3 linked regions of the Danio rerio genome follow. The main gene of each other region encodes a partner of the protein of the gene in region 2 in a complex. Links are inferred from orthologs where the notes say so. Each region holds a gene or a part of one and is shown on either strand. Other genes may lie near its edges. The genes, in order: tmem17, mks1 and tmem107l.

Evidence for each region.
Region 1: mks1 (region 2) and tmem17 share a complex: the UniProt entries of both Homo sapiens proteins name them as parts of the tectonic-like complex. The link is inferred for Danio rerio from reciprocal best matches to the Homo sapiens genes MKS1 and TMEM17.
Region 3: mks1 (region 2) and tmem107l share a complex: the UniProt entries of both Homo sapiens proteins name them as parts of the tectonic-like complex. The link is inferred for Danio rerio from reciprocal best matches to the Homo sapiens genes MKS1 and TMEM107.

The regions. Positions count from the first base shown.
Region 1 is NC_133200.1:30,968,085-30,971,843, forward strand, and holds the start of tmem17 (transmembrane protein 17B), read left to right. Parts: upstream 1-1,298; 5' UTR 1,299-1,374; coding exon 1,375-1,489; intron 1,490-2,119; coding exon 2,120-2,223; intron 2,224-2,333; coding exon 2,334-2,447; intron 2,448-2,522; coding exon 2,523-2,666; intron 2,667-3,759. Other genes in the region: PKc_like domain-containing protein, read right to left, coding at 1,227-1,273. UniProt on the Homo sapiens protein: Transmembrane component of the tectonic-like complex, a complex localized at the transition zone of primary cilia and acting as a barrier that prevents diffusion of transmembrane proteins between the cilia and plasma membranes.
Region 2 is NC_133180.1:61,446,737-61,450,495, forward strand, and holds the start of mks1 (tectonic-like complex member MKS1), read right to left. Parts: upstream 2,534-3,759; 5' UTR 2,319-2,533; coding exon 2,242-2,318; intron 1-2,241. UniProt on the Homo sapiens protein: Component of the tectonic-like complex, a complex localized at the transition zone of primary cilia and acting as a barrier that prevents diffusion of transmembrane proteins between the cilia and plasma membranes.
Region 3 is NC_133198.1:31,419,504-31,423,262, reverse strand, and holds the start of tmem107l (transmembrane protein 107 like), read left to right. Parts: upstream 1-1,219; 5' UTR 1,220-1,376; intron 1,377-1,499; 5' UTR 1,500-1,505; coding exon 1,506-1,592; intron 1,593-1,684; coding exon 1,685-1,752; intron 1,753-2,375; coding exon 2,376-2,476; intron 2,477-3,759. UniProt on the Homo sapiens protein: Plays a role in cilia formation and embryonic patterning. Requires for normal Sonic hedgehog (Shh) signaling in the neural tube and acts in combination with GLI2 and GLI3 to pattern ventral and intermediate neuronal cell types.

The sequences.
Region 1 (3,759 bases), on a different chromosome or scaffold from region 2:
TTAAGTAGGCCTATATTTTCCATAATAATCACTATAATCACAGGCTACAGCAAATCATTTTATTAAAACCATGTCAACAGTAGGCCTATAAATAGTAAAAAAAAATGCAATATTAATATTCTAAAAGTTAATATAAATTCATGGTGTATAATATTAAATTAAACGTGTAATATTTATTTTTCCATTGAAGATGAGGCAGAAGCAGGTTCAAAAAATGAGGGAGACCACCGAGCATGAGCTAAATCACACAGGTACAGGTAAGACTGTTAATCTGGAAGGGATATGCTAGAGTGTCATACAAAGATAGATGGACATTTAAATAATTTAAATATTGTAAATGCTTTGTTATTCATTCTAAGATGAAACTCCCTCCGAGTCAACTCAGCAAAGTAAAGGTGATGGAGACAGAAAATGTTCAGATTGTCCATCCAACAGTAAATAGTTTCTGTTATTATCCGCAATGTGTAAATGTGAATCACATACATGTAAGATGAGCTTATCAAGATCTTTCAGGACAAAAAAAGTTTTGTTTTTAAAGGTACAGGTAAATATAAAAATGTAAAATGGTAAATAGTTCTGAAATTATTACAGAGTGTACTGTTTTTTCTTTTAATTGTACTTTTACAACAACTAGAAAATTTGTATAAGCAAGAACCCACCCACTTAGTGCCCCTGCCCCTCAAAATGTCTGTGCACGGCCCTGAATTGGTGGTTCATTCTGCTGTGGTGACCCCGGATTAATAAAGGGACTAAACCGAAAAGAAAATGAATGAATGAACCTTGGGTTGCAAAAAAAATATATCTTTTCATATTGTTTCTCAAAAGTGAAGAACCCAAAAAGAACCTTCTTTAAAATAAAGCTCTAAATTCTAATAGAAACCCTGGATCTCAAGACTGAATAAACTGAACATTGAGTAGTGGGCAGGGTTTTATTTTAGTTCTCATACTTGACGTCATCAGAGAAGGACCCCCACACCAGAGCAGAATCAAATAGGAGGTTTTTGATTAAAGATTACCTACAATAAAAATGATCAGCGACTTTACTTAATTGTTCACCTTAACACTACCAATGTCCTCTAGCAAAATAAACATTGTACATTTTTTTACTTCATGCTGACTTAAAGTGATAGTTTAAGCCAGGAATATTAATATTATTCTTTATACACATTGCAGGATAAAACTCAGCATAATGTATCTTATTTCGCCATCATACAAAGCAAGCAAACCTGTTAAGTGCAGCTGAGCAGTGTGTGTGAGTGAGAGTGAAAAACATCCCCCGGTGGTCACAGCTGGACCATCACAACCGCTCAAGAAGATCCGCCTTCGTTGCTACCATAGACTGGTTGCTACGGACACACGTCTGCTTCTCCCAACATGGACCTGCCTGAACCCATCAGGCGACGGCTTGGAGATTTCTCCAGAACCGTGTTTGTGGACCAAAGCCGTACACAACCCTCTTTCGAAGAGCACGCAAATTTTCTAGACCAAAGTAAGTGTGTTTGAGCTTCCATTTGATCTGCTACGTGAACGTTAGCTGTAGGGCTAATTCATCTGGTTAGCCGAGTTGTACGATTTCATGTAGCTTTTGCTAGTAAACATATTTTTTTCTGACGTCATATGCAGATATAATAATGCTTTATGGTAGCATTAATCTTAAAAGGAAGTTGATAACATTTGGCGTTATTCCTGTCTGGGACCTACGAAACTACGTTGCGTTACCAAAAAGCATAATAAATGGTTCGTTTGAATCGGATCTTCTTAATGGACCTTTTCATAAAACGTGATTAGTCAAAAAAACTACTTAAAGTAAGGCAACTAGATGATTTAATAGGTTGACGGAATCGAAATATTTTGGATATCTTTAACCAAGTTTAGTTAGGTAAAACAGCCAAGTGAACAAAGTTACTCATTTAAAACGAACTGTTCAAAAGAACCGATTCGCCAAATGTTATTTTACTCCATCCTATACAGGCTCCGAACACTGATTTATGTATTATTATTATACATATTATATATCTGTGGTTCCGAATCAGGTTATTTAGGATGCCCAAGATTAGTAAAAATGAACTTTATTCAAAGCTAATTTGTCATTTTAATTTTATGCACTATTATTTCTCAGATAAGGATGTAGTATCGAGTCTCCCTCTTCAGATGTCACTCTACTTTAACATGTGGTTCTTTCCTTTCTGGTGGATCAGTGAGGTTGTGATGCTTGACCTAAAGGTGATTCTCGTCTTTGTCATTTTTAACATTTCAATATGATCTTATGGCTGTTTAATCATATTACTGTTGTTAGATATTACAGCTAATAATCATTGTGCTTTTTCTTCTAGTACTCAGCCCTTGCAGATTATTACAAGTTCATCCTGATCACAATTCTCATTGTAATGACCCTGATTGAGGCTATTAGGCTGTATTTGGGCAATGCTGGAAATCTGCAAGAAAAGGTCAATCTTAATTTAATGTAATATCATGTAATATCCTATAATTGGTCCCATTATGCATCTGTTGTTTTTCAGTAGGTTCCAGAATTGGCTGGATTTTGGCTTCTGACTTTTCTACTTCAGTTTCCTCTGATTTTGTTCCAGCTCTTCAATGAGGCTGTTCTTGTTCAACCACTAGAGAGAGGAGTTCATATAATACTGGCCTTATTTATCTTTGCTGAGGTATCTATCTGTCTATCTTACAACTATTTTAAGTGACTATGTAGAATTTTTAACTCCTCATTGTTCAGAATTTGAAGGGATTTCAGTTGTGTACCAACAGAACAGTGTTTTATAAAACACTCAAGACACTTTGACAAAAAGCCATTATTTTGTGCAAAACACAGTGATTAGAGTTTAAGAACAGCAATGATATTGGTTGTAACATAAAGATTACAACTTTAATTTCCAAAGCCTACAACTGCTTTTGTCTCGATTGATTTTACTACATCTTCAGTACAGATTTTCACTCAGGAGGGAAGCACGAAAGCCATATTTTTATGCAGATTTGAATGAAACACTCCACTTCAGGAGGAACAGGCTCAACTTATAAGAGTTAAACAGAAAAGATTTGCCATTTTTTAATCCTTTTAGATGATCACTGGGTCTGGTGAAAACCCTTTTAGCTTCGCATAAATCATTAAATTAGATTAGACCATTAGCATCTTGCTCCAAAAATACAAATAATAACTGGAGATAATTTTTCTATTTAGAGCTTGACACTTTTCTAGTCACATTGTATACTAATGCTGTTCACACCAGACGTGGAAGGAGCGTCAAGCGCAAGTGATATGTTGATATGGCTAAGAACTATACTCTCATTTTGGTGTAATAATCAAGGGACTAGCTGCCATACCAAGGCTGCAGCAGGGACAATGTTAATATGTAGCACTGTTATCTAGATGGGAAATATTTTTTAGAATAAGAGTATAGTTCCTAGTACATAATGTAACTATAGAAGAGTGTGCGTGTATGTATGTATGTATGTATATATATATATATATATATATATATATATATATATATATATATATATATATGTGTATATATATATATATATATATATATATATATATATATATATATATATATATATATTTATATATAAATATAAATTATCTTGTGTAACTTATATAACTTTAAGTTTTTGTGCAAGAGGCTAATGGTCTAATCTGATTCAATGATTTATGCTAAGCTAAGCTAAAAGTGCTCACACCAGACCTGAAGATCAACAGAATTGAATAAAAAATGCTAAAACTCAACTGTTTAAACTTAT
Region 2 (3,759 bases):
GGTGATACAATGTTTTACAGTGGCTTAGTTTTAGTAATGTTTGAATACCATGTAAACACAGCACTATTGATTTAGTTATTATACAGAATCATTGTGAAAACTTTTACAAAAAAACAGTTGCAGTTTCACAAAATTAAATGTGTCAAAAATAGCTTCATGTCATTTAGAGAAGTACATGCGTATTGAAACAAAACAGGATGTTGTTATCTCAGGAGAGAAAGTTCAAGATGTCACAGAGTGTAAATACCTATGGGTTTGTCTGGACTCCTGTCTTGGTTTTAAAACACATATAAAAAGGTATGTAACAAGGTCAAATTGAATATAGGTAATTTTAGGTTTATTGGAAATTCTTTATCAAATAAGGCTACAAAAATGTATATAAATTCTACGATCCTCTCTCATATGAATTGTCTGATAATTTGGTTTAACACAAAAACAAGTTTTACAGTTTTGAAACCTTTCGAATTATTATATAAAAAGAACTATATAAATATTATATAAACAAGAACAACAAATTTTGGATAAAAAGTTTAGTTTTCAACACTGTACTATTTACATTTACATTTAGTCATTTAGCAGACGCTTTTATCCAAAGCGACTTACAAATGAGGACAAGGAAGCAATTTACACAACTGTTAGAGCAACAATGAATAAGTGCTATAGGCAAGTTTCAGGTCTTTAAAGTCTAAGAAGGAAAGTATTAGTAATTTTTTAGTAATTTAGTAATTTCTTTTGGAATTTTTTAGTAAAGATTTTAGTAAAAAAAAAATTTTTTTTTCAATATTTAAAAAAACCATAGCCTGCTTGGTTGGGAAAAAATCAAGTTTAAAAATGGTTGTGCAGTTTAAAAGATTGGCATCACCGTGGCGCAGTGGGGAGCACAATCGCTCACAGCAAAAAGGTCGCTGGTTTGAGTCTTGGCTGGGTCAGTTAGCATTTCTGTGTGGAGTTTGCATGTTCTCCCCATCCCAGTGTTGATGTAGTTTTCCTCCCGGTGCTCTTATTTCCCCCACAGTCTAAAGACATGTGGTATAGGTGAATTGGTTGGGCAAGCTAAATTGTCTGTAGTGTATATATGTGAATGAGTGTATATGGATGTCTCCCAGTAAGGGGTTGCAGCAAGAAGGACATCCGCTGCGTAAAACTTTTTTCTAGTTTAAATCTGTAGAAAACAAAAGACTTGAGGTACAGATAGAGCTGATTGTACTATTCAACTTAAAAAACTTGTTTTGGTCAAGCTTGTTTTTCTTTGAAAGCATCCCATCAGTGAAATAAGATACCACAATCTGTTAGAGATTGTGATTTTTTTGAGTATCATTTTTAGAAATTTTCTTATTATTATTCAATATTTTGAACACTGGGCTTTTTGATGTTGTTGTGGTTGTTTTCTGTTGTTTAATTGAGTTTTGTTTTTAGTTGAATTTGTTTTTTTATTGGTATGGCCTTTAACATCTGGCAAAGGGACTACCAATGAAAACATAAAGGTAAAGTTGGTTTTATATTCGCACATTCAGACTTTCTCCTAATATAATTTCATAAAAGTATTATTTGCAAACTCTAAATAGCGAAATCATATTAGCAGCCAATGACTATCAAAGTACAACATTGTTCACAGTCAAATAAACAGTGTAATGTTGTTTTCAAGTCACATTTGCAGGTTATTTTAGAACGAATCTTCTAAGTGCCGTAGTAAACGATGCAGGGAATGTGTCACAAGTTGTCACTGAATTAATGTGTGAATATAAAACCAACTTTACCTTAATAATGAAAACTAGTCTTTGGGTTAATATAAGTATATTTACGTTCTAGGTGAATGATTAATGTACACTGAGAAATAAACTAAACTAAACAAAATCACAGAGTAATGATGTATGCAATACAATGTTACTCTGATATAATATAGAAATAAGTAAAATTTAAAGGGATAGTTTTCAAAGGGATACAATTTCTAATGTATTTACTCAGCCTCAAGTATTTCTTTTTTTATAGAAGAGAAGCTATTTTGAAGAATTACTGTGTTCAGCAATATAAAGAAACTTAAAGAAAAGGTTTGAAAAAAGCAGGGCGAGTAAATGATGACAGAGTTTTCAGTTTTAGGGGAACTATCTATCCCTTTAATTTACTGTGGTATTTTCACAGCTCTTCCAAAACAACACCACAGTACCGTGTCCAAAATAGTTCATAATGCTTTAAAATATATACATCAGTTTGTTATACATGCACACAGGCGACGTGTCTTACCGTATTCGGAAGTTTTTAACTGCATCCCTGGAACGGTAAACCGATTCTCCGTTGTCAGAGCACCAGCCGTCAGCCATATCTGACACACAGCGTCAAAAGATAAAAGTCTTCACATATAGTGTAGAACTCCCACCGGTTACTATAAAAACACTCACATCAAGACTAAGGCAGCTTAAAATGTTTTGATATAATTCACTCGTGAATGCAATACTGCTGAAAACAGTTAACGCCACACATCAGAGCGTCTTGTTGCATAGTAACAATCTAAAACGGAAGCGGCCGGAAGCCATATGCACGCATGCTCAGTACTGGCAAACATATGCTGTTCTCAAATCAGCCTGTGCTGCTTTGAGATCGAACTTCTGATAAATGACCGGTGCTCACTACTGATCTGCAAGCGGTAACACATTTACTTTTCCTGTCACCCACTGGCAACAAACTGAAAGCTGTTCCACATGTTTGTTAAACACGGTCGATTATTTAGTTTCCTTATGTCGCATTTTACTTGGGAACTATAGACATTTTTGCTTTGTTTGAAATGTTTTGAGGTTTTTAGTGAAAAGGAATCTTACATTTAAAATAAACATATTGCGTTGAGCTGACCTCCTTAGTTTGCCAGACTATACCAGCTCGAATTTCTAAATGTGTATTGTAGCCTAACCAGATGACAAGAACCAAACGGACTGGGGTAAATATGGTGTATTTGCACATTTAGAGATTGTCCTTTCATCAGAAATGTCTCATTTGCTAATTTTAAACGAGGAAATTATATTAGCAGCCAGTATCAAAGTACGTTGTTCACAGTCAGTTTAATAAGGTTAGAGCTAATGTTGTTTTAAAGGTGTACTTGCATGCTAATTCAGACCAAATATTCAAAGTAACGTGGGTTAAAATATAGGCACCGTAAACAAATGTGTACATTCAAAACCAATTTTACATCAGTGCCAAACGAATCTAAAACCAACAAATCAACTTGTTTACGTTGTTTTTTTAAAGAAACATTTTTTCTTTTTTCTTTTTTTTTAAACATTCATCAGTTGCAAATATGCAAGTGTGGAAAACAAGTATTAGAGTGTACCAGGTGTCCAGCCAAACAAGCAAAAGATGTTTTGTAGGGCTGAATGAATTGTATTTCACACCAGTATTTTATGCACAGCAAATTTGCACAAGATCATTCTTCTATCGAAGAGACCTTGTTTTAAGGTCAGACGAGAAATTTTCCTCCAATAAACTCAAAAAAACATTTGCCACAAACAGAAATGAAATTCACAAATCAACAAAAAGTCAGAGAAAACCATCCCAGGCAGTTCATTTTTCAAAAACAGGGAAAAAGCTGTCATCAGAACTTCAGAAACTGAGGTTTGAGGATCTTAGCGAATCAGAATCTAGTAGCATCCGTAAAGACTCCCAACCAAATCAAGATAAAGAGTTTGAGATTGTGTTTGGTGTGGCCCCATGTTTATTGGCTCTCACTCGGGGAAGAAGGAGTGCAAGTTGTCTGTTTGTGAAAAGTGGCGA
Region 3 (3,759 bases), on a different chromosome or scaffold from region 2:
AAAAGTCTTCCTAAAACTGTCTATTCTCAATTTCTTAACTCTAAGGTTAATATTTTACTGCCTTCCAGAACAGCAAATGCCCTTGATAGCAAACCACTGAGTTAGTATTTATTTATTATTTACTAGACCAACGACGTCTGGCTGTAGGCTACAGTAAAAACTAATGATTCATTTATTTGTTGATTTGTGAATGCTGAAAACCTGCAACCATTGACATCCATATAGGAAAAACAAATGCTATGGAAGTTACAGGTTTCCAACTTTCTTTAAAGTATTGCCTTTATCGCTTAACAGAAGAAAGAAACTCACAAAGATTTACAACCACTTGAATAAACAGCAAACACGTTTTTATATTTGGGTGAGCTATCCTTTTAACTTATAGGGCTCTTATTACACACGTTTTATGCACTTACTATAATACCAATAAATTATGCATAATCACATGCAAAAACCCATAACCATAGTAAGTACTCCATATCGTTAATTAATGCCACTCAGTACTTTATGCTATAGATACACTGTAAAAATGAGACCGTAAAACAAAAAACAACTTAGTTTGTTTAAATGCATTTCATTTCGAGATTAGCACTGTCGCTTCACAGCAAGAAGGTTGCTGGTTCGAGTCCCGGCTGACATTTCTGCAGATGCTTTTTTCCCTGTGTTTGCTTGGGTTTCCTCCGGGTACTCCGGTTTCCCCCACAGTCCAAGGACATGTGCTATAGGTGAATTGAATAAACTAAATTGGCCATAGTATATGAGTTTGAATGAGTGTGTATGGATTTTCCCAGTGCTGGGTTGCAGCTGGAAGGGCATCCGCTGTGTAAAACATATGCTGGATAAGTTGGCAGTTCATTCCGCTGTGTCGACCACTGATAAATAAAGAGACTAAGCTGAAGGAAAATGAATGACTGAATAAAAGGCTTGTTTAAGACACCTCGAACACCTTGATAGTGCTCCCTATTGACCACAATAATGAAGTCTTTGAAATAAATTTTTTCCAATTGTCTTACTACTTGTCTGCGCTGCCATGTTCCAGTTCACCATTTTCAAGTTATTTCACCTTTAGTACCTGCTCTCAGCCGAAGGAAAATGAATGAATGAACATTTTGAGACATTGTAAAACCAAGTTGAGGACCAGTCAGAAAGCGACTCCTTCCAGCAGGTGACAGCATTGAGCTACTTGTTGGTCTGTTTTGACCATAACCCATTCGCCAAATAGAAGAAGAGTGTTGTCGTAGCAACCCGAAGCTTATATCGAGCGATAACTGTCCTCAAGCTTGATAAACTTATACGCATAGTAGCCTTATATACAGTGCTATATCTACTTTACTGCTCACCATTTGAAAAATCAGGTTTTAACAACTAACGCAAAGCTGGTACGTATACCATTTTGATATACAACCTCACGTTTTGTGAAGATGAACACGTTAAACCTTTAACTGTTAGTCATCCACTTGCACAGTTCAATCTAAGTTATTATGTCTTTCTTCTCTGTCTAGTGTTCAATGTCGGTGGTCAGCAGTCTGGTGCCTGCCCGTTTCCTCACTCTCATCGCGCACCTTGTAATAGTGATAATCATTTTCTGGTCTCGGGTAAGAAGTGTTCTTGTGTGTGTAATTGTTATTTTTATATCACACAACATCACTGCAGCCAGCTGTGTGTTTAAATGTGGAATGACCTACAGGAGTACAGTGTCCGAGCCTGTCTACCACTCGACTACACTAATGAAGAGTACACAGCAGAGGACACACGGTTGGGAAACACACTTTCTCTGTTCTGTATTGCTTCACAGTGGCTAAATGATAATATAATTATTTCGGTCATGTAGTGAGACTGAATAGTATTTTTTGATTCAACTTTATTGTCATTATACATGTACAAGGCAACAAAATGCAGTTGGGGTATACCTAGGAATGCGATAGCATCAAGTGCATGATATATGCACAGTGCTCAGCAAATGAGTACACCCCTTTGAAACAAAACAGATTTATTAAACAGATATATTTATTCAAATAATATTTTAGTCATCAAACATATTTAGAAATTGAAAGATATTACAATTACATTCAAGCAAAATAATCCAAAAAAGAAAAGAAATTACAACCTGCAAGATTTCAACTAAAATAGTCTTTTTTTTTTTCATTCCGCAATACAGAATGTATTTTAATTGTTAATTAAATGTACCTTTTAATTTATGAAACAAAATACTTTAAAATCTTTTGATGGCTTTTCTTGTTTGACCCATTTACAGCATATTATTGTTTGACTGATAGTAAATTGTACATTATTTATATGTAGATGTGAATAATGTTATGGAGTCAGATATAGTAAGTCCTGTTCATGACGCTGTCCTAACCATTGTTTTTGGAATACAGGCTTGTGGTGGCATTATCCGTGACTCTTGGCCTGTTAGCCATCGAGTTGGTTGGGTTTCTCTGTGGAATCTCTATGTTCAACAACAACCAAGCTCTTCTGTGTATCCTTACCAGTAGCACATCACCACTATAGGTTATATATATACTGTAGGTGTTGATGCATATAAATTGTGTATTATTTTCTTATATTTTCATGGATCGGAGTCAAATCTTCAACTTATGATTAACGCAAACAGCTCCCATATGTGTGTCTAGTACTAGTTTCTTACACATCTCATCCAAAGTCTTCTGTTTTGTTCAGATTTTTGACAGTAAATTACCTGAAGTCATGGGTCGTAAAAAATTATATGGAGCTGTAATGTGGTCAAGACCTACCTGGTATATAAAGTCAATCTAGGGCCATATATACAGTTGAAGTCAGAATTATTAGCCCTTTTGAATTATTACCCCCCTGTTTATTTTTTCCCCAATTTCTTTTAACGGAAAGTAGATTTTTTTCAACACATTTCTGAACATAATAGTTTTAATAACTTATTTCTAATAACTGATTTATTTTAGCTTTGCCATAATGACAGTAAATAATATTTGACTAGATATTTTTTAAGACACTTCTATACAGCTTAAAGTGACATTTAAAGGCTTAACTAGGTTAACTGGTTTAACTAGGCAGGATAGGGTAATTAGGCAAGTTATTGTATAACCATGGTTTGTTCTGTAGACTATCGAAACAATATATAGCTTAAAGAGCAATAATTTTGACCTTAAAATGGTGTTTAAAAAAAAAAATGCTTTTATCCTAACCGAAATAAAACAAATAAGACTTTCTCCAGAAGAAAAAACCCTTTTGGAAAAATAATAATTCAAAGGGGGGCTAATAATTCGGACTTCAACTGTACGTGCAAAATAAAATAAAACTTTGCAAACAACAAATAAAGTATTGAGCAAAAAATAAATAAATGTAAATGAAAAAAATAAAAAATACATTTTGCTAACAAAAATAAAGAACTGCAAAGGGGAAAATTGAGAAATAAAAATGAAATTTAAACAAAAAAGGAACTGCAAATAAACATCAAGCAGTAAAAAAACAAAACAAAAAGATTTGCAATAATCAAAAAAAAACTATATATATTTGCAAAACATTTTTATAGCATTGCTTTTACAAAACCTGCCCGGTCAGTTGCAATTGTCATTTTAATTAGATTTTAGTCAACTGTGAGTTTGTGATGCTGTTTTCACTTTGTACTTCACGTTTCTGCGCCTTTCACTTTGTGGCCCTGATTTGACAAGGGGACTGAGTCAAGGGAACTTAGAGGTTTACCTAAGGCCTGCCGTAAACGCCCAAGTTCCCTTGACTCCACCCCTTTGTCAAATCAAAATGAGCATT